Arabidopsis thaliana: one gene and its partners. The protein of the gene in region 1 interacts with the protein of each later gene in a pairwise test. Each region holds a gene or a part of one and is shown in the gene's direction. Other genes may lie near its edges.

Region 1 (6,431 bases):
TCCTGTAAGTTTCTTCCTCACTGTGTGTCGAATCCGTCCTCAATGCTCAATTTTATCCATTTATTGTGAGACTGTGATTGATTTTGGTTTCCGTTGTTTTATCCAGCTAGTACAGTTTCTGGGTTTTCACCAAAAAGTGTACCTTTTGCTATTCATAGCGTAACCAGGAGGCAATTTCTTAATCCCAACACGTTTTATAGATTTGGGTTCTCTCCTTCTCTTCAGGTCAGATTCCTTTACTAGTCAGTATCATCCAATTCTCCAGACTCTGCTTCGTTGTTGTTTTGGTTCTTAGAATTAGACCACACTTCGTTGCTTCCCTTTGAAGTAGAGAGTCAATGTTTACTGTTATGTGCGGATATGTTGTGCAGGGAAGTAGCATTGAGTTTAGCCTTCAGTTGAATTCAAGAGTTGTGCTTAGTAAAGAGCGTCGATCTCTGCCATTAGTTGTGAGAAATGATCGTCCTCAGAATGAAGACTTACCTAAGCAGTACACAAGGCGAGAGAAGAAACCTTTCCCAGTCCCTATTGTGGACCTGAGACGAGCTGCGAGGGAGAGAGTCAAGAACAACAAAGACAAACCTAAGAGACCTCTACCTCCGCCTAAAAATGGTATGGTTGTGAAGAGCCTTGTGCCTCTTGCTTATAAAGTATACAATGCAAGAATCAGATTGATCAACAATCTCCACCGGCTTATGAAAGTTGTTCGTGTTAATGCTTGTGGGTAAAAATTCTCTTCTTCTTCTTGTTTCATTTTTGGTCTGTTTTGAGTATGGCCTTTTTTTGATGTTGTATGATTGGTCTCTTAGGTGGTGCAATGAGATTCATGTTGGACCTTATGGGCATCCATTTAAGTCGTGTAAAGGTCCCAATACTTCCCAAAGGAAAGGTCTTCATGAATGGACTAACTCGGTTATTGAGGACGTTATTGTTCCTCTTGAAGCCTATCACCTTTTTGACCGCCTTGGCAAGCGTATCCGTCATGATGAAAGATTCTCGATTCCCCGAGTTCCTGCTGTAGTTGAGCTCTGCATTCAGGGCGGCGTTGAAATACCCGAATTTCCAGCAAAAAGGAGAAGAAAACCGATTATCCGCATTGGCAAAAGCGAGTTTGTTGATGCAGATGAAACTGAATTGCCTGATCCAGAGCCTCAGCCTCCTCCAGTGCCATTGTTAACTGAGTTACCTGTCTCAGAGATCACTCCCCCATCTAGCGAAGAAGAAACAGTCTCCTTAGCCGAAGAAACATTACAGGCCTGGGAAGAAATGAGAGCAGGAGCCAAAAAGCTGATGAGGATGTACAGGGTTAGGGTCTGTGGGTACTGTCCAGAGGTTCACGTAGGTCCAACGGGACACAAGGCCCAGAACTGTGGTGCATTCAAGCACCAACAGCGGAATGGCCAGCATGGTTGGCAATCTGCAGTACTTGACGACTTGATACCGCCAAGATATGTTTGGCATGTTCCTGATGTGAATGGGCCACCGATGCAGCGAGAGCTACGAAGCTTCTACGGGCAAGCACCTGCTGTTGTGGAGATATGTGCTCAGGCTGGCGCTGTTGTACCTGAGCATTATAGAGCTACAATGAGACTGGAGGTTGGAATTCCTTCGAGTGTGAAAGAAGCTGAGATGGTTGTTTGATATGTAGAAGACCTTGTAAACTTCTTCTTGTACAAAATCCTCCATTCCACCTTGTGTTGTATAATAATATCACAGCCCAGGTCTTTTTGACTTTTGAAGGACAAAAAAAACAATCCACGCTAATCCTATTATCAAGGGTAAAAATGTCATTTGCTTCGTTTTCATCTTTTCTCGTTGCCATTTTCTTTTTTTTGTCTGTGTCAAGTCGATACCACTTGTCTGGTAGCTTTATACCCACTTTCATCTTTTTCATGTTCGTAGTTGTTCCTCTGGTTATCCTCATCAACGGGACCCTTGAAACCGTGTAGCCATGTAAGCCTTTGTCTTTGTCTCTTTCTCTTGCTTCAGCAAGTTCACGTCTGCTCTATTTCTAATTTTGTTCTAAGATTCAATTCTCCTTTTTTCTATGCGAGAAATTTAAGATTGGTTCTCTAGCTCTACCTCTTTAAATTTGTTACTATGTGTCGGTGTCCATCATTCATCAAATTTTTTCCTTTTTTATCCATTTGAGTTGATGTAATGATGTTGCTTCGCTTCATACTGGTCAGAGTTAGTCTAATCTTCATTTTAGCACAACTTGACAACTTCATATGGTTATGACTTATTTTTACTTGGGTCTTTCAAAGGTTAAGTATTTTAGTCTTATTTTGGGATGATGCAGCTTGCTTAATGATTAGAGTCTTAAAGCTGTGCTCTTTCTTCATCGATTTGAGCAAGTGATCTTGGAAGGCTCTTGAGTTCTGAATTCCTTGTAAGCAATCATGGCAGGGAAAAGAGAAAACTTTGTGAGGTTAGTGCTGCATCCTTTTGTTTTAATACAAAGATCTGAAGTTTGAATGTGAGAAACGTATTGATTTGGCAATGGTTGTTTCTGATTTGTTTCCTTATGAAAGTATAGTGTGATTGTACTGAACTATAGCTTGTTGGTGCATAGTAATCTGAAAGTGGTGTTGTTCATACCTTTTATAGGGTGGATGATTTGGACTCTAGGTTACCATCATCATCTGTAGCCTTCCAACAGAACTACGCCTCCAATTTCAGTGGACAACTTCATCCTATTCATGCAAGCAATGAAACTTCTAGATCCTTCAAGAAAGGTATCCAGAAGGGTTCCAAAGGGCTTAAGTCGATCGGACGTTCACTTGGTTTCGGTGTTTATCGAGCAGTGTTCCCAGAAGACCTTAAAGTATCTGAAAAGAAGATATTTGATCCTCAGGATAAATTCCTTTTGTATTGCAATAAATTATTCGTTGCGTCATGTATTCTTTCAGTGTTTGTGGACCCTTTTTTCTTCTATCTTCCTGTGATTAATGCTGAGTCCAAGTGCCTGGGTATTGACAGAAAACTGGCTATCACAGCAAGTACATTGCGGACTTTTATCGATGTGTTTTATCTCGCTCACATGGCTCTCCAGCTTAGGACTGCTTATATTGCACCTTCATCACGGGTCTTTGGGCGAGGTGAACTCGTGATTGATCCTGCACAGATAGCAAAGAGATATCTACAACGTTGGTTTATTATTGACTTTCTCTCAGTACTTCCTCTCCCTCAGGTTGGTTAATATAAGTTTTGATCATTTCAGTAAATTGTGTGTTGGAAAACATCATTGCTTAATTTGTTGAAAGGGTGCAGTAGCCAGTAGTTGGTGATCAGACATCTCTGTCAAGCGCTTTCTAGTTCTAGATTTACAGTACTCATTTTGTGTATGTGCAGATTGTAGTTTGGAGGTTCTTGCAAAGTTCAAATGGGTCGGATGTATTGGCTACAAAGCAGGCCTTGCTTTTCATTGTTTTGGTCCAGTATATACCGCGATTCCTACGTGTCTTACCCTTGACGTCAGAATTGAAAAGGACAGCAGGTGTCTTTGCTGAAACGGCTTGGGCTGGTGCCGCTTATTATCTGCTTTTATATATGCTTGCAAGTCATGTGAGTTTATATACCTTTTTCATTTTAAGACGTTGCTTGTACTATTCAATGCTTGCCCATTCACCATGAGTTATGTGACTGTGGCACCAAAAGTGCAAAACAAGGAAATATTTGCATATCCGTTTCACTGTTATGAACTTATGTTCAAATGTTTAGTTTCCTAAGACATGTAAAGGAGCTTATTGAGCTTTCTGGTTAAGCCGTCTATGCTTACCTTTGATGTTCTATGCAACCTTTCGTTTTATCTTAGTTGATGTTCATGCCTCATGGGATCACAAATGTCAAGTTTCTTATGACGAGCAACTCTGATTGTATAGCTTATTTACTCTTCAATAATAGTATTGACTTGGTAAGTGCTATTTTGATTGAGCCACTGTTTCGTATCTTGCAGATAGTTGGAGCTTTTTGGTACCTTTTAGCCTTAGAACGTAACGACGCCTGCTGGCAGGAGGCCTGTATAGATGCAGGGAATTGCAGCACAGATTTCTTGTACTGTGGCAATCAAAACATGGACGGCTATGCTGTTTGGAACAGAGCCAAGGAATCTGTTCTTAAGTCCAAGTGCCGAGCTGACCTCGATGATAATAATCCTCCATTTGACTTTGGGATTTATACACAGGCTTTATCGTCTGGAATTGTCTCGTCCCAAAACTTCATCGTAAAATATTGTTATTGTTTGTGGTGGGGCCTTCAGAACTTGAGGTAACCATGTTCTATCACTATTCAGTCGAAAGACTATTGCTTTGATCTTACCAATTCTCACTAAACTCGGCTCCTTTATCAAAGTTATGCGTCTATGAGTTTCAGATATTCATATAGTACTTCTCATTGTTGCACCACAGTACACTTGGACAAGGGCTTGAAACCAGTACATACCCAATGGAGATTATATTTTCCATATCTCTCGCCATTTCTGGGTTGATCCTCTTTGCTCTTCTCATTGGAAACATGCAGGTGAGTAATTATGGTGCAACCTTAGCTACTTTCGTGATCATTAGAAATTTCTTGTAAGCTCTTTCAATGGAAGCATCATGCATAATTTGTTTCCTCTGCATAATGACTATCTAACAACATTTTGCAATCTTGGGACAGACATATCTCCAATCTCTTACCATCCGGCTTGAAGAAATGAGAGTAAAGAGGCGTGATTCAGAACAATGGATGCATCACAGAATGTTACCACAAGATCTTAGGGAGCGTGTGAGGCGCTATGACCAGTATAAATGGTTGGAGACACGTGGTGTAGATGAAGAGTATCTCGTTCAGAATCTTCCCAAGGATCTCCGGAGAGACATCAAGCGGCATCTCTGTCTGGCTTTAGTGCGAAGGGTAAGTTCTCCCCGCTGTTCCTTATTCAAGCTTCTCACATAGATCACACACCCTTTTGAACATCTAGGACCCATTGAATAACAGTCGGCTCATAACTAAAACGAGCTCTTGACCATCGACAAGCTAGCTTGGTTCATGATACGTTTTTACCATAATATTAGGTTCCATTGTTTAAGAGCATGGACGACAAGCTGCTGGATGCGATCTGTATGCGGCTGAAACCATGCTTGTTCACAGAGAGTACCTACTTAGTGCGGGAAGGAGATCCTGTAGACGAGATGCTATTCATAATACGTGGTCGCCTCGAGAGTGTGACAACAGATGGAGGCAGGAGCGGTTTCTTCAACCGCAGTCTCCTGAAAGAAGGAGAATTCTGCGGGGAAGAGCTTCTGACATGGGCATTGGATCCAAAATCAGGTGTAAATCTCCCGTCTTCCACGAGGACCGTGAAAGCTCTGACAGAAGTAGAGGCGTTTGCGCTGACCTCAGAGGAGCTGAAGTTTGTAGCAAGCCAGTTCCGGCGCTTACATAGCAGGCAAGTGCAGCACACATTCAGGTTTTACTCTCACCAATGGAGGACTTGGGCTGCTTGTTTCATCCAGGCTGCCTGGCGTAGATACTGCAAGAGGAAGAAAATGGAAGAGGCAGAAGCCGAGGCCGCGGCTGTGTCCAGCTCAACCGCTGGACCTTCATACTCCATTGGGGCTGCATTTCTTGCCACTAAGTTTGCGGCTAATGCGCTTCGCACCATTCACAGGAACCGGAACACAAAGATTAGGGATTTGGTGAAGCTGCAGAAGCCTCCTGAGCCTGATTTCACTGCTGACTGATGATTGAGCAGCTTGTAGACATTATTGTTTATAATTTATGGGAATCATTACGGTTGAGATAAACAAATATTGCTTGGCTTTAAAGCTGCTTGTGCTGTCTGTAAAATTAATATATGAAGTGTAGAAACAAAGAGATTATAGCCGTTGGATTTAATAAATGTACGGTTAGGATCATATGCCGGTTAAAGAATGGGTCTATTGGGCCTTTTAATGAAGCCCACAATATATTCACGGTGACATGCTCCGGTCCCAAGGTAGAGAGAAGTTGCGATTGATTTCGGTGAAAGAATTAAGAATCGATCGGACTTGGAGAAGAGAAGAGAAGATGGTTGGCGCGAATCTGAAAGCGGAGACGATGGCTCTAATGGACAAGAGAACAGCCATGGAGACGGAGATGAACTCTATTGTCGAACGTCTCTGCAATCCCGGTGGTCCTGGTCTCTCCGGCAATCTCATCGACTCGGAGGTACTGTATCTGCGTCCTCACTCTTCTCTAATCTTAACCGAAAATTCTGCTTAATTTTCTCCTTTGATTCGTTTGCTTATGGCAGGGATTTCCTCGGGAAGATATTGACATTCCCATGGTGAGAACTGAGCGCCGTCGTCTTGCTGGTGATTTCTCTTTTCTTGTGCTGAATTAGTCCATAGTTAGGGTGAGACTACAACTCCAAGGTTAGTTTAAACTTAGGAAACATAGCAGAATCA
Region 2 (4,793 bases), on another chromosome or scaffold:
GCTATTTTAGTTGCATAGTCTTTGATTTAGCATACAAGACTCTGCATCTGTTTCAAGGGAGATGTCTCTGTTTAAGCATAATCTGTTTCATCCGAGTTTTCTTGATATCTCAAGCTGTTTTCTCTTACCCATTATAAAAAAAATTTGGTAGAATGAGCTTAACTTTGTAGAAAACCATCATATTCAAAGCTTCTGTTTTCTTCCACTTTGTCGCCTAAAAATTGCAACTTGTTACGGATGCAGGATGCTGCAGTACAACCTTCTCTGGTCATTGTCTATTTTGGAGGAAACGACTCAATGGCGCCTCACTCGTCTGGACTAGGACCTCATGTACCACTTACTGAATATGTTGATAACATGAAGAAGATCGCTCTTCATCTTCAGGTTTATACTTCCTTTATAATTGTTAGATTTATTATTTATCTCCTGTCAGTCACGTTTAAAAGCCATTTCAAGTGCTAATTTCTTCCTCTATTTTCTGTTTCAGAGCCTTTCAGACTTCACCCGAATCATATTTCTTAGTTCTCCTCCAGTGGATGAGGCTAAAGTTCGCCAGAACCAAAGGTAACTTCCCTGAATTTCTTCACTATCTCTCTGTTTCTCCTTATTCTCTCCGGCCTTATTAATATAGATGTGCTTCTTTTTCTCTCACAAGCCCATACTTGAGCGAGGTAATCCGCACAAACGACCTCTGCAAGACTTATTCAGATGCTTGTGTAGAGCTGTGCCAAGAACTCGGCCTAGAAGTAGTTGATCTCTTCTCTACTTTTCAGAAAGCAGATGACTGGAAAACTGTTTGCTTCACGTAAGTATTTTTTGAGTTCTGAAGAAATATAGAGAGACCTTTGATATATATGACTTTCTCAGAGTTTCCAAATGCGATAACCGGGAATGGAGTATCGACGATGTTCATTGAAATGTTTTAACGGTATAGTCTGGTTTGTTACAGAGACGGGATTCATTTGTCAGCACAAGGAAGCAAAATAGTAGCGGGAGAGATACTAAGAGTGGTTAAAGAAGCGGAATGGCATCCATCACTTCACTGGAAATCAATGCCAACAGAATTCGCAGATGACTCTCCTTATGATCTTGTATCAGCAGATGGCAAACAGACAGTAAATTCTTCAGAATGGACTTATTTCTGGGAAGAACAATGGGACTAAACATTTCAACACACACAACAACAACAACAAGACCCTATCTTCACATAATTCACTGTCTTAATGTGATAAAGCTTTGCTTTAGATTGTTTACATTACAAGTGTCTCTGCTATAATCTGATTCAGTTTCGCTCGAAAAACGTTACCATTTTAAAGTTTATACTTATCTAAATCTTAAATCACAGAAACACACCAAGTTTGTGTTCAAGTAATTTCTTTTTTTCTTGTTTACATTTTACAGACATTAACAAATGTCTGAAACTCATCACATAACACTCCTCCAGACAGGGGTTTAGTGTTTTGAAGGTAAAATCACAAAGTAACTAAATTTGGGCCGATAACAAAAAAGTCGCTTAGGAGATTGGACTTATTTGGGCCTAAAACCTAACACTTAAGGGCCCAACTAAAATGCCATTTACCTAAAAAGCGACGCATCTTCGTCTACTACCAAACCTTTTCGCTGACGCAACCAAACTCCCAAAAATAAAAATAAAGTTTTTATTTTCTCTCTCTCTCTTATTTTTCTTCTCCTTCTTGTTCCGTCTGCTTCTCTCCATCTCCTTCCATATCTATTGTTCTCTCTCTCTTCATGCCCGAACGCATCGGGTCTCAAAAACCATTGATACAGACATCGATCCTTGTCAACTAGTACTGATCTATAAATCTTATAAAAATCTGTAGAGATATGGCCGCCGCAGCCGTTTCCTCTAACCCTCGCACCGTTGAAGAGATCTTCAAAGATTATTCCGCTCGTCGTGCCGCTCTTCTTCGTGCTCTCACTAAAGGTCTAAATCCTCTCTCTCTCTCTTTCTCTAAATTTCCCAGATTTCTTCGTAATGCCTTTGGATTCGTCCTTTAACTTGTTCGTTTTTGTGATTTTTTCCAGATGTTGATGATTTTTACTCTCAATGCGATCCGGGTATGAAAGATTTCGACTTTTAGATACCCTTTTATGTGTTTTATTGAGATTTGATTTCAATTTTTGGGTGTTTGTGGTTATAGAAAAGGAGAATTTGTGTTTGTACGGACACCCTAATGAGTCATGGGAAGTGAATCTACCAGCAGAGGAAGTGCCTCCGGAGCTACCTGAGCCTGCTCTTGGTATCAATTTCGCTAGAGATGGTATGCAGAGGAAAGATTGGCTTTCTCTTGTTGCTGTTCACAGTGATTGTTGGTTGCTCTCTGTTTCTTTCTACTTTGGAGCCCGTCTTAATCGCAATGAGAGGTATTTCTCTTTTTCCCAACATTTTGATTCTGCATTCTCATTGTTTTGTGTTTTCTTAAGCCATGTCTCCAACTTTTACTTGATTTCAATGGATTCTGTGTTGTTCTTACATGAAACCCCATAGTTGTTTTCCATCCTGGCTCTTCTCATGTGAAGTAAAAATTGAAACTTTGTGATGATGATGGAGTTCGTTTGGAATGAGATTGTCTTTGAATTTGCGTGAAATGAGTTTTGTTTTGTTTTGTTTTTTTCGCTATTCGTCATTCATATCTATGGAGTATTGTTTGTTGCATGACTTCATCTGTCTAAACTTTTTCTCAGCTCTTTTGGATATTGTAATGGCTAAACTTGAAACTTGATTATCCTCCCTAATTTTAAAAGCCTGGTATTTGCTATTCTATGAAATCTGAAAACGGATATTCTGTGGTCGCATGTGCTGAATTTCACCATTTCATTGTTACATCTGAACACCCATCTTAGTAACTATGGAATCCAAAGAACTTTACTGACAAAGGTTTTGTGAAAGTTAAATTTTGACAAAAAAAATTGCTATTTGATTAGTACTAATGAGATCATTTTACTGTCTGTCTGTCATATATTCTAGAAAACAATGTTATTTTGGTTATTATCTGTTTCATTGTTCTTCAAGAGAGAAGTAGTTGTTGGCATTTAGATAGGTTTCAATTAAAGGTGCAAGAAACTGGACTTTGTTTTCTCAACCAGTAGTTTCACTATACCATTAACAAGTCTCTAAAGTGATCCTCTACCATTTTAGTCCTCTATCTTATTTACACTAGACTAGTAAAAAGCATTTCGTAAGATGCATTTCCAAGGATAGAGAATTTAACCCGACAGAGCTGCAAACAAATAATGCTAGATAAAACATCACAATTGTGTGTTGTACTGATATGAAGATTCTGGTTCGTTTTTCCTCACTTTCGCTTGCTAATCTAGTTCTTAGCTTATCTTAGCTGCCTTTTTCAATGTGTTGTCCACTCATGGAGTTATATTATTCTTTTGATTTGCAGGAAGCGGTTATTCAGTCTGATCAACGATCTCCCAACTCTCTTCGATGTAGTGACTGGTAGGAAAGCCATGAAAGACAACAAGCCAAGCTCGGACTCAGGAAGCAAATCCAGAAATGGCACTAAGGTACACAAAATAAGGAGCCTCCTTTCTTCTTTTTTGTTATCTGGTTTCCCTCTTTGAAATCAAAAATCGTAATTAGCAGAGATCAATAGACGGGCAGACAAAGAGCTCAACACCGAAACTAATGGAAGAGAGCTATGAGGAGGAGGAAGAAGAAGACGAGCATGGAGACACTCTCTGTGGAAGCTGTGGAGGTCATTACACAAATGAGGAGTTCTGGATTTGCTGTGATGTTTGTGAACGTTGGTACCATGGAAAATGCGTCAAGATAACTCCGGCTAAAGCAGAGAGCATCAAGCAGTATAAATGCCCGCCTTGCTGTGCAAAGAAAGGAAGACAGTGATGCTGATCAATTGATGATGATGATGATGATGATCTCTCAGAGAGACTCTGGTTCTCATGTTTTAATCAATATGTTAATCAACTTTTTTTCTTTTCTTCTCTTTTTTTCTTTAACCTTCTTAATTTTAAAGCATACAAAACTCTCTCTTTAGATCTCAAGAAAGGGATTTCAAGAAGTTGAGGGAGAGAGTAGCAAACTGTTTGAATAATATTATTATTATTCATATTAAAAAAAAAAAAACTGGGTTGTGTCATCAATTGTGTTGTGTCATGGGGTTTGTATATGTTAGACTTAGTCAAATCTTTAAGCTTCGAACCGAATTTTGAACAAATATGTTTTTAATCTTCTGTTAGGTCTTTTATCTGTCTTAAGATATTGTTTTTCATAATTTTAAAGAATATTATTATCCAATATTATGTGATATGTCAAAGTGATAGTCTTCTCATTTGGCCGGAATTGTAAAGAGCCAACATGTTTTCCAAGTTCTAAAGGGCAAGTAAATGTGATCGCAAGCCTTAGAATTGGTAAGTTTTATAATTAACCATCAAGATTGTCACAAATCATCTCTAAATCCAAATCTAAATTTTTCAATCAAATTTGCGACAATAATCAAATATTTTTATTTTTTAAAAAAAAAAATACTATTTATTTAGCATCATACTCAATAAGAAATTCATGAAATGTTAATAGTTGACAATCGACTGAATTTAACTAAATTTTAAACTCATCGACTGAATATTTATTCGACGATAATGATTTGTAGCCTAGTGTTTTGGTTTGTGCTAATTAATGCATGTTGATGATAATAATAATAACAATGATCAATATTCAAAATCAATACAAATCAATTTATAAATGTGATCATGCATGTATGTAATATCAAGAAGGGCGATCCCAAGTAAAGCCAGCATGAAGA
Region 3 (7,537 bases), on another chromosome or scaffold:
AAACTCCAAGTGAAGACCAAGAGATATGGTAACGAGAAAGTGTTTAGAATGGTCTTAGAGATGCAAATATGTGTCGCTTTTGTCGCCTCGGTTGTTTGTCTCGTGGGCTTGTTTGCGAGTGACGAGTATAAGGAACTGAAAGGCGATAGCAAGAGGTTTAAGAAAGGGGAAACGTATTACGTTCTGAGTTTGGTCGGGTTGGCTTTGTCGTGGCAGGTTTGGGCGGTCGGGATGATAGGTTTGGTGCATTATGTTTCGGGTCTTTTTGGTGATGTTGTTCATATGTGTGCTTCACCATTTGTGGCTTTGTTTGTTGTCTTGGCATTTGATTTTATGGATGATGTGTTTAGTTGGCCTAGAATTGGTGCTTTGATAGGAACAGTTTTGGCGTTAGGATCTTACTTCTACACTCTGCACAAGAGAAACAAGAAGAAGATGGCGGAACTTAACCAAAGTGAGAACAATGTTGAAGTTTAGTTTCTCATGTCAAGTGTTTGTCAATCTGTTCTTGTTATTCTGATTCTTGTAAGTCAATGTCCAAAATATGTTGTATAGATATGGATCAAACTATGTAATTTATTTATTAGTTGGTTTAGTTTGATTTTTTTCTTTTCTCTGTTTTGCATTTATTTGTTACAATACTTTGCTAGAGGAGTGAATCCCTATATATTTCTCAAGTAGACTTGATTGTTAACATCTATGGGGCATCGAGACACCAATAAAGCCACATCCCACTTGATGATATAAGCTGCACCAAGCTCTTATGCCTTTAGGCTCGTACCTTTCCTATATAGAATGCAACGTAAACGTCTTCCCCAAGCAACTCAAATCCAGAGGCTGATGAGAAGAAGTCTTTTATATGCTTATTTGTTTTGTATATCTTCCATGGGTGATCATTCCTCTGCAAGTGGTTTATTACGTCGATGAAAGCCAGAAATATACCAATAGGCCATGCACATTTCGGTTACAGAAGTGGCACTCTTCATATTACTAGCTGGAGAAGAAAGGTTTTCGATAGAGCTTAACGGAAATGGTAAAGTATGGTATGAGATAGAGATAATGTTATCACATTTCTTGTCACTCCTCCAATATCCTTAATATAAAGAAAGTAGCTCTAGCCTAAACAAGATTCAGAGAAACCTAGGAACAAACATTTGGAAACAACTCTGCTCAGAACCAAACATCATCAAAGTACTACCATCGTCTAGCTTAAACACCTTAACCTCTACTTCCTTTTCATGGACAAAGTATATAGAATTCGGTACGCATCAATAGTACTCATGAGCCATAACCGAGAAACAAGTATCAGTCGCCATCACAACCGCACTATCTCTCAAGGACTTAACTTCAACCCACTTCCCTAATTCCTCATCAACCTTATAAACATTGAAACCAACCATTTTGGGACATTCTATTTCCACCTCTTGGTCCACATTGCATTTTTCATTCCCAAAATCGTCATGTATCACATTAGAAATCCGAGGAGCTACACCAACATAAACATTATCATCCAAGTCCAAGTAATCAGCTTTTCTTTTCAAGACATTCTCTTTAAAAAGACGATCAACAATATAAAGCTCTCCACAACATGCAACCAAGCTTAAGTCTCCACCACATTCATTAGTAAGTGAAGTTCCATACCTAACGATACTAATCCACCAAACAATGCCTTTCGTATCCAACACGTAAATTAGCTCTTTGAGAACAATAATATCAGAGAATTCACCAATCTGATCTTTGATTCTAGTCCAAATCTCTCCATTCCAAAACCTAATCTTCCCATCAAACCCTATTCCAAAAACTCGATCTCCTCCCGCAAGAACAACTTTCTTAAACCCAAAAGCAATGGACCATTTCGGTTTAACAATAGATGTGATTTGGTTTAGCTTATCAATTAATTTTTTTATTTTATTTTAAAATAAATATATATTTTAATTCTTTTATAAATCTCTGATTGGTTGGTTAATTAATTGTTTGTATTTCCCTTTTACGAATTTAAATAAAGTAGATGTTACAAAAGAAAATGAAAATCTCTGAAAAACTCTCCTGATTCAAAAGAGTAAGAAATCTACAAAAGAAAACCACAGAGAAAATCTCTACTGATCAGTTTCTCTCCATTGGTGATCGCTCGTCAGAAAAATTGAGCTCGATTTTGTATAAATTGAAGAAAAAGAAGAAGATCATCAAATGCGTGATTTTTACTTTTCCGTTCAAGGTAAATCGATCATCTTCGGCTTCAAGCCTGAAGATAGCGCTTCGAATTGGTTGAATTGTGTAATTTTGGAGGAAGTTAAGGTTCTTGCAGTAACAACTGCTTTACTGATTTTTCTGGTTTTTTTTGTAATTGTAGAAACTGAGTTTAAGGACAAGCTTTGTCCCTTTTAGTGGAATTTAGATCTGGTTTTGTCGTAATTTCTTCTGGGTTTCAATTCTAGTCTTCTGTAGTAGTATCAGTGTTGTGTTATCACCCACTATTTCAAAGTTTCAATGAAATTTTAATACCAAGTTGTTGACTTTTCTGTGTTTCTATCTGATCATAATTAACTTCGGAAGAAATTATTGTGACCTCAGAAAATTAGGTAGCTGATTTGATTCTTTTGTTTTCTCAATTATTCTCTTGTTAATTTCATTGTTCACATAGAAATGGTTCATATTTTCTGCTAATATGTTTCCTCTTTCATTTCAATTCACCATATTTCTTCTTTGTAGTGATTGATCAAGGGAACATAAGCAGCTAGAGACCACACCACTCAGTTATTTCTATCTCATAGTGCTTGTGGATGTTCAAGCTATAAGAATGTGCTCGGTGGTTCTATGAATATATAGGTATTATGCGTTATGTTTGGTTTGTAGAATATATTCTGAGAAGGTGATAGGATGGTCGATTTGCTAACTTTATGTCACTTCTGAAAGTGAGTTTGCATGTTTCTCTTTTCTCTTAAATCTGCTTTAAGTGTTAAGATATTTTGTTTTGAATATATTTGGAAAAACCAGTGACTTTGGTATTCTGTTAGCATGTTCCAACGATCTAAATTCTGTGGGTATATACTCTGGTAATTGCTTATACTGTTTTTGCTTTATGAAAACGATTTTAATATTCTACTAGGAAGATTGGTGTTTTGATGGGATGGGACACCAAATTGCTAAGGTTTATGGTGTTATCAATTACTAGTACGTGTTATCTTCCGAACAACCACCACCATGGAATCTCATCTGGGAAATGGAGTAGGCAGTTCGAGATCTGCCAAAAATACAAAGAACACTTCTAGTTCAGTTGATTGGTTGAGCAGAGATATGCTTGAGATGAAGATAAGGGACAAGACAGAGGCTGATGAGGAGAGAGTAAGTTTTGCATCTCCTTTCTTAGGTCTTTATTTCTTTGTGAACTTCTTTAGCTTATCTTCCTTCTCATGCGCCCCTCTATTTGATGAAGTAGTTTACTTGAATTTGATGTTTTTGCCATGTTGCAGGACAGTGAACCAGATATCATTGATGGAGTTGGTGCAGAACCTGGCCATGTGATCACAACTACACTCCCTGGACGAAATGGTCAATCAAGACAGGTTAGATGGTCATAGAAACTGTGTGTCTAGATTGTTAGTGAGACGTACTGATTCTTATACAACTGTTTTTAATTTTGATTGACAGACAGTCAGTTACATAGCAGAACACGTAGTCGGGACTGGTTCATTCGGAATGGTTTTCCAAGTGAGTAAGATTGTCTATCTTGTTGTTTTACCATTGGTTAAGATTCCCAAACATTTTATGTCTCCTTGTGGTAGGCTAAATGCAGAGAAACTGGGGAGGTTGTTGCCATCAAAAAAGTTCTACAAGACAAGCGTTACAAGAACAGAGAATTACAAATTATGCAGATGCTAGACCATCCGAATGTTGTTTGTTTAAAGCATAGCTTCTATTCAAGAACAGAAAATGAAGAGGTTTATCTAAATCTTGTCCTTGAGTTTGTTCCCGAGACTGTCAATCGTACTGCCAGAAGCTACAGTAGAATGAACCAGCTGATGCCATTGATATATGTCAAACTCTACACTTACCAGGTGATTATTTCCTGTTTCTGATCTTTTTTTGTTTCTCTTTATGTAAGCGTCATAAGTAATCACTCAAAATTTAAGCTATATTCAGTTTCTTGATATGTGTCAGCTGGTTTCTTGTGGTTCATTCCATAATGGATGTTGGAGATTTCCTCTTGTTTTGCTAGATAGATTGTAAACCAGAAGGCAAAGTTCCTATCATTTCTGATACTATTGTACTTTTCCGTTAGAAGTTGGAACTATTGAACATAATTGATTGTCTCTATATAAAAGAAGTAGTGCTCAAACGTTTGTTGAACACTTAAGTGTGAATCGGGCCTGATAATTTGTTGGACATTCTCCAATGATTTTTGAGGATTTTATGTTAATGGCTACAGATTTGCAGGGGGCTTGCTTACCTTCATAATTGCTGTGGTCTTTGTCACCGTGATATAAAGCCCCAAAACCTGCTAGTAAGTTCCAATTTTTTCTCACTGAAAAGAAGTTGATGATAGATTTCACTTTCCTGTAAGCTACTTTTGTTTGAATTTTTTTTATATAGCAAGGTCTTTGTCACCACACATAAGGATTTTAAAGGCATTTGTGTACATAAATATCAGACAGTGTTCTTTAATTCTACAAATTTGATCATTATATAGTAATGACATGATGATATTTCGTTATTACATGCCTGGTGGGATTAAGCAATGAGGTTATGTATGCATCTCGCTAATGTTTATTTCAACCTCAGAGTGGTACTGGGCTTCTGTTCTGTAGTTAATTTCACTTGCTATTTGTTCAAGTAGGATGTTAAAATCTAACTTTTCGGAAAATAGTTTTGGTTTTTAGCTGGTCTGTTCGTTGGTTTAAATATTTAGAATCCTATTTTCTTGTGATTTCACAAGGATTGAACTTGTTCCATACTGTTTCAGCTGTTAGGCTCACCATACCTGCAATTGACTAGAATTTGTCATAAACAAATGTTGCCTTGTTTTTATTAAACAATCTTTTATTTTTTTCTTTACACCTATTGTGATGTGCAGGTGAATCCACACACACATCAGCTGAAAATTTGTGATTTTGGGAGTGCAAAAGTGTTGGTAAAGTTTATCAGCTATAGCTCTTAGTGGTTTAGTTTTCCTAGTCCATGCTTAGATTATGACGTGTCATGGTCCACAGGTGAAAGGAGAACCCAATATTTCTTACATTTGTTCAAGATACTATCGTGCCCCAGAGCTCATTTTTGGAGCCACCGAGTACACAACTGCAATAGACATATGGTCCACAGGTTGTGTGATGGCTGAACTGCTGCTTGGACAGGTTGGAGCACTATATTTGCATTAGCTATATGCTTGTTATTCTATTTCTTCACCCTCTTACTCATTTTTGCTCTCGCGGACTTGTTTTACAGCCTCTGTTTCCTGGCGAAAGTGGAGTCGATCAACTTGTTGAAATCATAAAGGTAGTATTTTTGCTATCAATTCTTTTAGGGTTAGTTGTATTTACAAAGAAAATGACATCTTTAGAGCTGGCACTGACTAATAGTTTCTCACTGCTGATTATATTTTTTTTATAAAACTTTACCACCATTTTTGTAGTAGGACTCGTACATTCTCTCTTCATGGTTTTTTAATTGTCATGCAGGTTTTGGGTACACCAACAAGGGAGGAGATCAAATGCATGAATCCAAACTACACAGAATTTAAATTTCCTCAGATAAAACCTCATCCTTGGCACAAGGTATACCGCTAGTAGTATCAATTATCACCTAATAGGGTTCTCTTAATCGATATATGACCAAGCTTGTCTCGGTTTAGTGAGGTTGATTGAAGTATATGTGATCAATTAACTTCATATTTCATTCCTCTGGCATATAGAGCGATGTGACAGCTTTGCCTTTGTATATAAGATTCTTATACAAACAAATAAATTGAACCTTTGCCAAAAGGAATTACTCATGCACACACTCGTGGGGGTTGAAAACAGTTAGGCTTCATGATCTTGGCTTTTTTGCTGGTTTAAGTTTCTATCTAGATGAAGTTTTATTCAGCATTTTATACAGCTGACATTCCAGAACTCTGTTACTCGTTATTCTTATCTTTTGTTTTGCTCCGTGCTAAAATTTCTCTTAAGTGATCATTTCCTTGGTTTTACTTCTATATAGTCATGTTCTTACAGCACAAGAATCATGTGTTTGTTACTTTCAGGTATTCCAGAAACGTCTGCCACCTGAAGCAGTAGATCTTCTTTGTAGGTTCTTCCAGTATTCTCCTAATTTGAGATGTACAGCGGTAAATTATTCATAGCTTTTCTCTGACTTTGTTACATATTCTACTTCCATATTTTTTTTGGGATCAGCATCAGAAGCTAACCCATTATAAGTATGTCTTATGATTTTCTGATAGGTGGAAGCTTGTATCCACCCTTTCTTTGATGAGCTAAGAGACCCAAATGCTCGTCTGCCAAACGGCCGGCCACTTCCTCCGCTATTCAATTTTAAACCACAAGGTAAGGTTCTGTTATTTGCTTCTTCTTTTTTCCGTGTTAAATTCTTTATAAGGGAAGAAAATTAGTATGTGTTATTGATAAGCGTGTGTCCTACAGAACTCTCTGGTATCCCTCCTGAAACTGTGGACCGACTTGTCCCAGAACATGCCCGTAAGCAGAACCACTTCATGGCATTACACTCGTAAGTCTCTTCCGTGTTTTCTGTACGACCTATCGGGTGTTCTCTTCTTTTCTCTAAGCTCTCTAGATCCCAGTCTTTGGGAAAAACCAGTAGAGCTCTCTCTCTGTAAACAGAAATCACTGGAAAAAGAAGCAATGACTTTTGTATTAAGGTGCTTGCGCATCCCTTGTCGTGAAGTGAGGATGCGTAAAATACAACACTACTTTGTTAGATATATGATATAGAGGAACATACTTACATTTGCAAGACTCCTGCCACAACACAATTTTCCAAAAAATTTGTGAACCTTAAAATGAATTGACAGTTTAGTTTATTTGTCCATGTTTACGAACTTGATTTGAACCATATTACTCGAATTACACCAAACCAATTTATCTTCGAGTTAATTTCAAATAAGGCATTTGTTTTACAAAATAAGGCTTAAATATTGAAGGCCCAATAAGACCATGTACACAAAAAGCCTTTTAAACTAGTTTCACCTCTCTCTCCCATTTTTAGGGTTTCGTCAGAGACAGAAGTGAGAGAGGAGGAAAAATGCCGGCGGGACACGGAGTGAGGGCGAGAACAAGAGATCTGTTCGCGAGACCATTCAGGAAGAAGGGTTATATTCCACTCTCCACTTACCTCAGAACCTTCAAGGTCGGCGATTACGTCGATGTCAAGGTTAATGGAGCTATCCACAAGGGTATGCCTCATAAGTTCTACCATGGTCGTACTGGTCGCATCTGGAATGTCACTAAACGTGCCGTTGGTGTTGAAGTCAACAAACAGGTTTGATTACTCAAAACTTTTAATCTGTTTGAAAGAGTTTTTTGTTGTT
Region 4 (4,346 bases), on another chromosome or scaffold:
ACAAATTTTCTTGTTTTACATGGATAGAATTAAGATTAACTTATCTCAATTAATACAACCAATCATCTTGAGAAAAAAAGGAAACTCAAACACAACTATATATGGTTGAGCCATCCACACCTGTGGCGGTTTGCAAGAATTAGAAGATCCTGCTCTCACATCGCCGTTTCCGCGGTCTCGTAAAATATGATCACCTAACAAAGTCTCTCGAAATCTTTTACAGACATCCGTGTGCTTACAGAAAGTTACTTATTTTCAAAGTTTGATATCTTATCTATAAAAAACCCTACTACTACTACTACTCCTTTTGAAGACTTTTTATTTGCTTGCATCCATACTTGGAAAATGACTAGATCTCCACAATAAGAGGTCTCTTAGCACTGTCGTACAGACAAATTTGGTTCTCAAGTTCGATCTTTGAACACTTTTTCATCTTGTGGCTTTTTGGTTTTGATAGATTTCATACTCTCTATCGGCTTCGTTCCTAGGATATGACTGAAGATGACACATGCATAATCCAAGTTAGTAGAATTTATTATTTTATTTATAAATTTGAAGTTAGTAGATTTGGTTTATGGTGGTTTGACTGGGTTGCGCTACCTGTAAAATAGTAGTCTATTTAGTGTTGTTTATGTGGATGGGACGTGACATCGATGGTTGTCATTCCGTCCAAGTAGCTTATGTGGAGTGGAGTGTCATGTATGTCTGGAGTCTGGAGATGTGCTTTTGCATGGTCGACGCGTCTCTCAATGCTCGTTGGTGTTTGGTTTGTCCCGTAGAGAATTCTATGCACGTTTGAGATGCTTTGCTAGCGAATGTACGTTGTGTCCAGGAGTTGGACTCGTAAGACCCATATGAAGATTAAATGACTAATACATGTCTCTTTGAAGCCTCTATAAAGACAATCCGGTGTTGATATATCTTGTTGGATAGACCTTGTTGGGAGTAGTTTCGTTGATGTGGTGTCCACTTGTTATATGTTAGTTGGCTTTCTTTGGCTACCCGAAAAAACATCTCTATTTGATTTTACTTTAAATCTTTTTCCATTTGTTCGTATAGGGAATGTTTTATCGAATTAAAATATTTTTTAGCAGTAATAATAAAATTTAAAAATATTGGATAATTTAAAAATTTAACTGAATATATAGGTACTACAACATGCTTTTTTTTTTTACTTAGATTAGTTTTTTGTGCATTTGAGTTTGGTAACCTAAGTTTGTTTGTTTCACCGATGATACCTCTTTGTTATTTCGAAAAACAGTTTAGTATTGACAAAGTATTTGTTATTGACCAAGAAAATTTTATATGAGTCCTAAAGTCAGGAACTTGTTAACAAAAGATAACCAAACTTTATACTTAATTTCGTTATAAAATTATTAAAAGATCAAAGTAGGCTTTTATACAAACTAAATTTAGTTTCGATTCAAATAATTTTGAACTTAAGTTATATTTTTTGTGCGCATGTCTTCTTTTAGACCATAGAATAATATTGGGTTTATTCTTGAATTACGGAAAACATGTTTTATTAGTGAGGCAAAGTACACGCGTTCTTCCACTTTGGGTTTTTGTTTTGTCTATATTCACTTTAGGTATTTATTCCAAAAGCTGTTACAATTTGAATGAAAGCGACTATTAAACCTATATTCATTCACTTTGAAATAATTAAAAAGTTCATATTCATTCACATACAAAAAGCCATCTCAACTCAAAGTTTATAATTAATTAGCTTATTAAACAAGGAAAAAAACATATTAATTTTGTCATTAAGAAGAAGACGAATTTTTCTTCAAACATGATTAATATATAAATAAAAAGCTAGCAACCGGAAACAAAGAATCAAAAAGGCAAAAAGCAAAGAGAGAGAGAGAGAGAAGAAGAAGTGAGACTTGTGTTCTTACGGTGTTTATAGCTTCTTTGTTTTGTCTTTTAGGTTCTTGCCTTTTTCCGATCAATCAGACCAATCCCTCCTTCACTTTTAGCATCTTATTCTCTTTCGTTCTTCTTATATTTCTGGGAATTTTCTTCAATCGATTCCTCTTTGTTGTAATCTCACAATTAGAGAGAGAGATATGTATAATCAGTTGGCGATATCTTCGTCTTCTTCATCTTCTTCGTACTATGAATCTTTGAAGGTTTTGGAAGCTGATGTTCAACACGCTAATTCTTTGTAAGTCCTTTTTCTGGGTTTCTTCTAAAGTTTAAGACTTTAGTTTAAAATTGTTTGATTAGTTGAGCTATAAGAGTATAGTTAGTGAAAAAATTGAAAACCCAGATGATAATTTTAGGTCATTCTCTTCTCTGTGTGTAATCTCTTCTCATCAAAATTGGGTTATTTTAGGAAACTCCGATAAATTTTTAGTTTAGTTTTAGAAAGCTTTCACAAATAGAACATTCTGGAAAGTTGTTGTTGGTTTTGATATTCTAATTTAAGCAAATTTAGTAGCTTTTTTGTTTTTGTTTTGGCTCAAGGTCCCTAAACTTTGTTATTGCACATGTTGTGTTCGATGAATTGTGTATGAGAACTTTGAGGTTTATATCTTTTCAGGGCAGAAGCAATTCCAATGGGGAAGAACAATGTGCGGCTTCAGATGAAACTGGTTCATAGTAACTTTGCTTCATTATTACTCTTCTTGCTCCGGTGGATTGATCTTTCTTCCTCATGTCTTATTCCTCGCTACTTAAACCTCTTTCATGTTCTTGTCTACAAGGTTAGTTTTTTAAGTCTTATTTGATCTCAAAATGCCATCTTTTAATGGGGATATCGATGTCTTGACTATAAGCTTTTTTTCTTTGGTGGCTGAAATTTCTCAATTTGTTGTCATATTTGCTTGAATAGGTCCAGTCTGATGGACAACCTAAGCTTACCACGCACGGAAGGAAAGCAACGATTAGTGAGTTCTATGGTAAGCAAACCCGTAACAATCGATCACTAATGTTATAATATTCATGTTTTTGGCTAAAGCTTTTTGTGGACATGGTCATTCCTTTAAAAGGTTTTCGATTGAGACATTGCGGGTATTTACAATGGGAATGATGTTGAATGATTAATATGAGTCTGTTTGTGTCTCCATCTTTGTCCTTAATGTTTTGTGTTTTATAGGTGTGATACTACCATCACTGCAGCTATTACACAGCAACTTAGATGAGTTGGAAACCACAGACATCGGGTTTGACCTTAAAAGACTCAGTAAGAAGATAACAAAAGAGGCTCGTAGTAGTAGATTCAGCAATGCCGGTTTAGAGCGTGAAGAAGAATGCGGTATCTGTTTAGAAACTTGCACCAAAATGGTGTTGCCTAATTGTTGCCATTCTATGTGCATCAAATGCTATCGCAATTGGTATATACACACACACACTTTTTAGTTTTTAGACCTTTTTGACCTGATGCATTTACTGAATCTCGTTGATTCTCAAATCTGCAGGAACTTGAAGTCTCAGTCATGCCCGTTTTGTCGAGGCAGCATGAAGAGAGTGAACTCAGAGGACTTGTGGGTGCTTGCGGGTGATAACGATGTGGTGGATACAAGGACGGCTTCAAGGGAAGATTTGTTCAGATTCTATCTCTACATCAATAGCCTTCCCAAGGATTACCCAGAAGCTCTCTTTGTGGTTTACTATGAGTACTCAAATCTGCTATAGAATCTGGACAAACAAAACTTTGTACAGATTTTTAGATGGTAAATGTATTGTATAGAATGTAAAACTGTGTTAAGGCTTTTGGATGATATGATGCAAATGCCAAAGCTCTCAGTTTTTACATACTTAATAATTGTCAAATTGCGAGAAAAAAAAAAAGCTTGAATGCAGCAAAGAATAAAGATCTCATTTCATCTTAACCAAACGACATTCTAGAAGCTGTAATGATTGACAATAACAAATAGAACCATCAATAAAACAAAACATAGTTTACATATATATATGCTAGTCTCCAAAGACTGACTATCAGTAAATAAAGTATAGAGAAACATTGTATCCAATATTTTGATGATATAAAGAGATAGATATAGTAGAGAGTAACTTAAAATGGCATCTAAAGAGACGAAGAACATGGGAGGTTCTTTCTCAGTCACCTCGTCTCCTCTTTCCATAGTCTGCATCTCTTGACCTGGATCTATGATCATCTTCGGACATTCTTGATCTGCTTCGAGATTTCAAGCTAGATTGTCCTCTATCAAACTCATCAGAATCACGGTCTCTCTGCTGCTTATACTCACGGTGACTATCTTTCTCTTCACGGTGACTCTTGTGTCTTCTGTCACCACTGTTCTCAGACCAGTCACGTTCTGTGGTAGCCCGTTCTTTATCTCGTGATGGCTTTTCTTCTTTCTCTTGGGTTTCATCTTCAT

What was found.
Region 2: the proteins of CNGC5 (region 1) and AL2 interact in a protein complementation assay, tested with the Arabidopsis thaliana proteins (one large-scale study listed by BioGRID).
Region 3: the proteins of CNGC5 (region 1) and SK42 interact in a protein complementation assay, tested with the Arabidopsis thaliana proteins (one large-scale study listed by BioGRID).
Region 4: the proteins of CNGC5 (region 1) and AT1G13195 interact in a protein complementation assay, tested with the Arabidopsis thaliana proteins (one large-scale study listed by BioGRID).

Annotation. Positions count from the first base shown.
Region 1 is NC_003076.8:23,454,714-23,461,144, forward strand, and holds CNGC5 (cyclic nucleotide gated channel 5), read left to right. Parts: upstream 1-1,851; 5' UTR 1,852-1,953; exon of another isoform or gene 1,954-2,184; intron 2,185-2,302; 5' UTR 2,303-2,402; coding exon 2,403-2,431; intron 2,432-2,610; coding exon 2,611-3,193; intron 3,194-3,354; coding exon 3,355-3,567; intron 3,568-3,958; coding exon 3,959-4,269; intron 4,270-4,409; coding exon 4,410-4,521; intron 4,522-4,659; coding exon 4,660-4,896; intron 4,897-5,057; coding exon 5,058-5,726; 3' UTR 5,727-5,908; downstream 5,909-6,431. Other genes in the region: APO2 (APO RNA-binding protein (DUF794)), read left to right, coding at 1-4, 107-225, 372-724, 810-1,641; AT5G57950 (26S proteasome regulatory subunit), read left to right, coding at 5,965-6,192, 6,278-6,338. UniProt on the Arabidopsis thaliana protein: Probable cyclic nucleotide-gated ion channel.
Region 2 is NC_003074.8:3,507,471-3,512,263, reverse strand, and holds AL2 (alfin-like 2), read left to right. Parts: upstream 1-1,605; 5' UTR 1,606-1,845; coding exon 1,846-1,945; exon of another isoform or gene 1,946-2,046; coding exon 2,047-2,079; coding exon of another isoform or gene 2,080-2,162; coding exon 2,163-2,385; intron 2,386-3,413; coding exon 3,414-3,537; intron 3,538-3,616; coding exon 3,617-3,877; 3' UTR 3,878-4,268; downstream 4,269-4,793. Other genes in the region: AT3G11210 (SGNH hydrolase-type esterase superfamily protein), read left to right, coding at 244-384, 488-564, 656-805, 950-1,163.
Region 3 is NC_003070.9:21,430,542-21,438,078, reverse strand, and holds SK42 (shaggy-like kinase 42), read left to right. Parts: upstream 1-1,975; 5' UTR 1,976-2,202; coding exon of another isoform or gene 2,203-2,242; exon of another isoform or gene 2,243-2,566; coding exon of another isoform or gene 2,567-2,652; exon of another isoform or gene 2,653-2,709; 5' UTR 2,710-2,826; intron 2,827-3,106; exon of another isoform or gene 3,107-3,110; 5' UTR 3,111-3,201; coding exon 3,202-3,342; intron 3,343-3,470; coding exon 3,471-3,563; intron 3,564-3,648; coding exon 3,649-3,708; intron 3,709-3,782; coding exon 3,783-4,055; intron 4,056-4,426; coding exon 4,427-4,501; intron 4,502-5,071; coding exon 5,072-5,128; intron 5,129-5,207; coding exon 5,208-5,348; intron 5,349-5,439; coding exon 5,440-5,490; intron 5,491-5,672; coding exon 5,673-5,768; intron 5,769-6,235; coding exon 6,236-6,319; intron 6,320-6,433; coding exon 6,434-6,536; intron 6,537-6,632; coding exon 6,633-6,717; coding exon of another isoform or gene 6,718-6,721; exon of another isoform or gene 6,722-6,868; coding exon 6,869-6,941; 3' UTR 6,942-7,028; downstream 7,029-7,537. Other genes in the region: PUP17 (purine permease 17), read left to right, coding at 1-477; AT1G57906 (F-box protein), read right to left, coding at 1,269-1,829, 2,203-2,242, 2,567-2,652; AT1G57860 (Translation protein SH3-like family protein), read left to right, coding at 7,252-7,488. UniProt on the Arabidopsis thaliana protein: May mediate extracellular signals to regulate transcription in differentiating cells.
Region 4 is NC_003070.9:4,501,071-4,505,416, reverse strand, and holds AT1G13195 (RING/U-box superfamily protein), read left to right. Parts: upstream 1-1,740; 5' UTR 1,741-2,069; coding exon 2,070-2,167; exon of another isoform or gene 2,168-2,545; coding exon 2,546-2,708; intron 2,709-2,836; coding exon 2,837-2,903; intron 2,904-3,100; coding exon 3,101-3,338; intron 3,339-3,422; coding exon 3,423-3,639; 3' UTR 3,640-3,836; downstream 3,837-4,346. Other genes in the region: AT1G13190 (RNA-binding (RRM/RBD/RNP motifs) family protein), read right to left, coding at 4,063-4,346.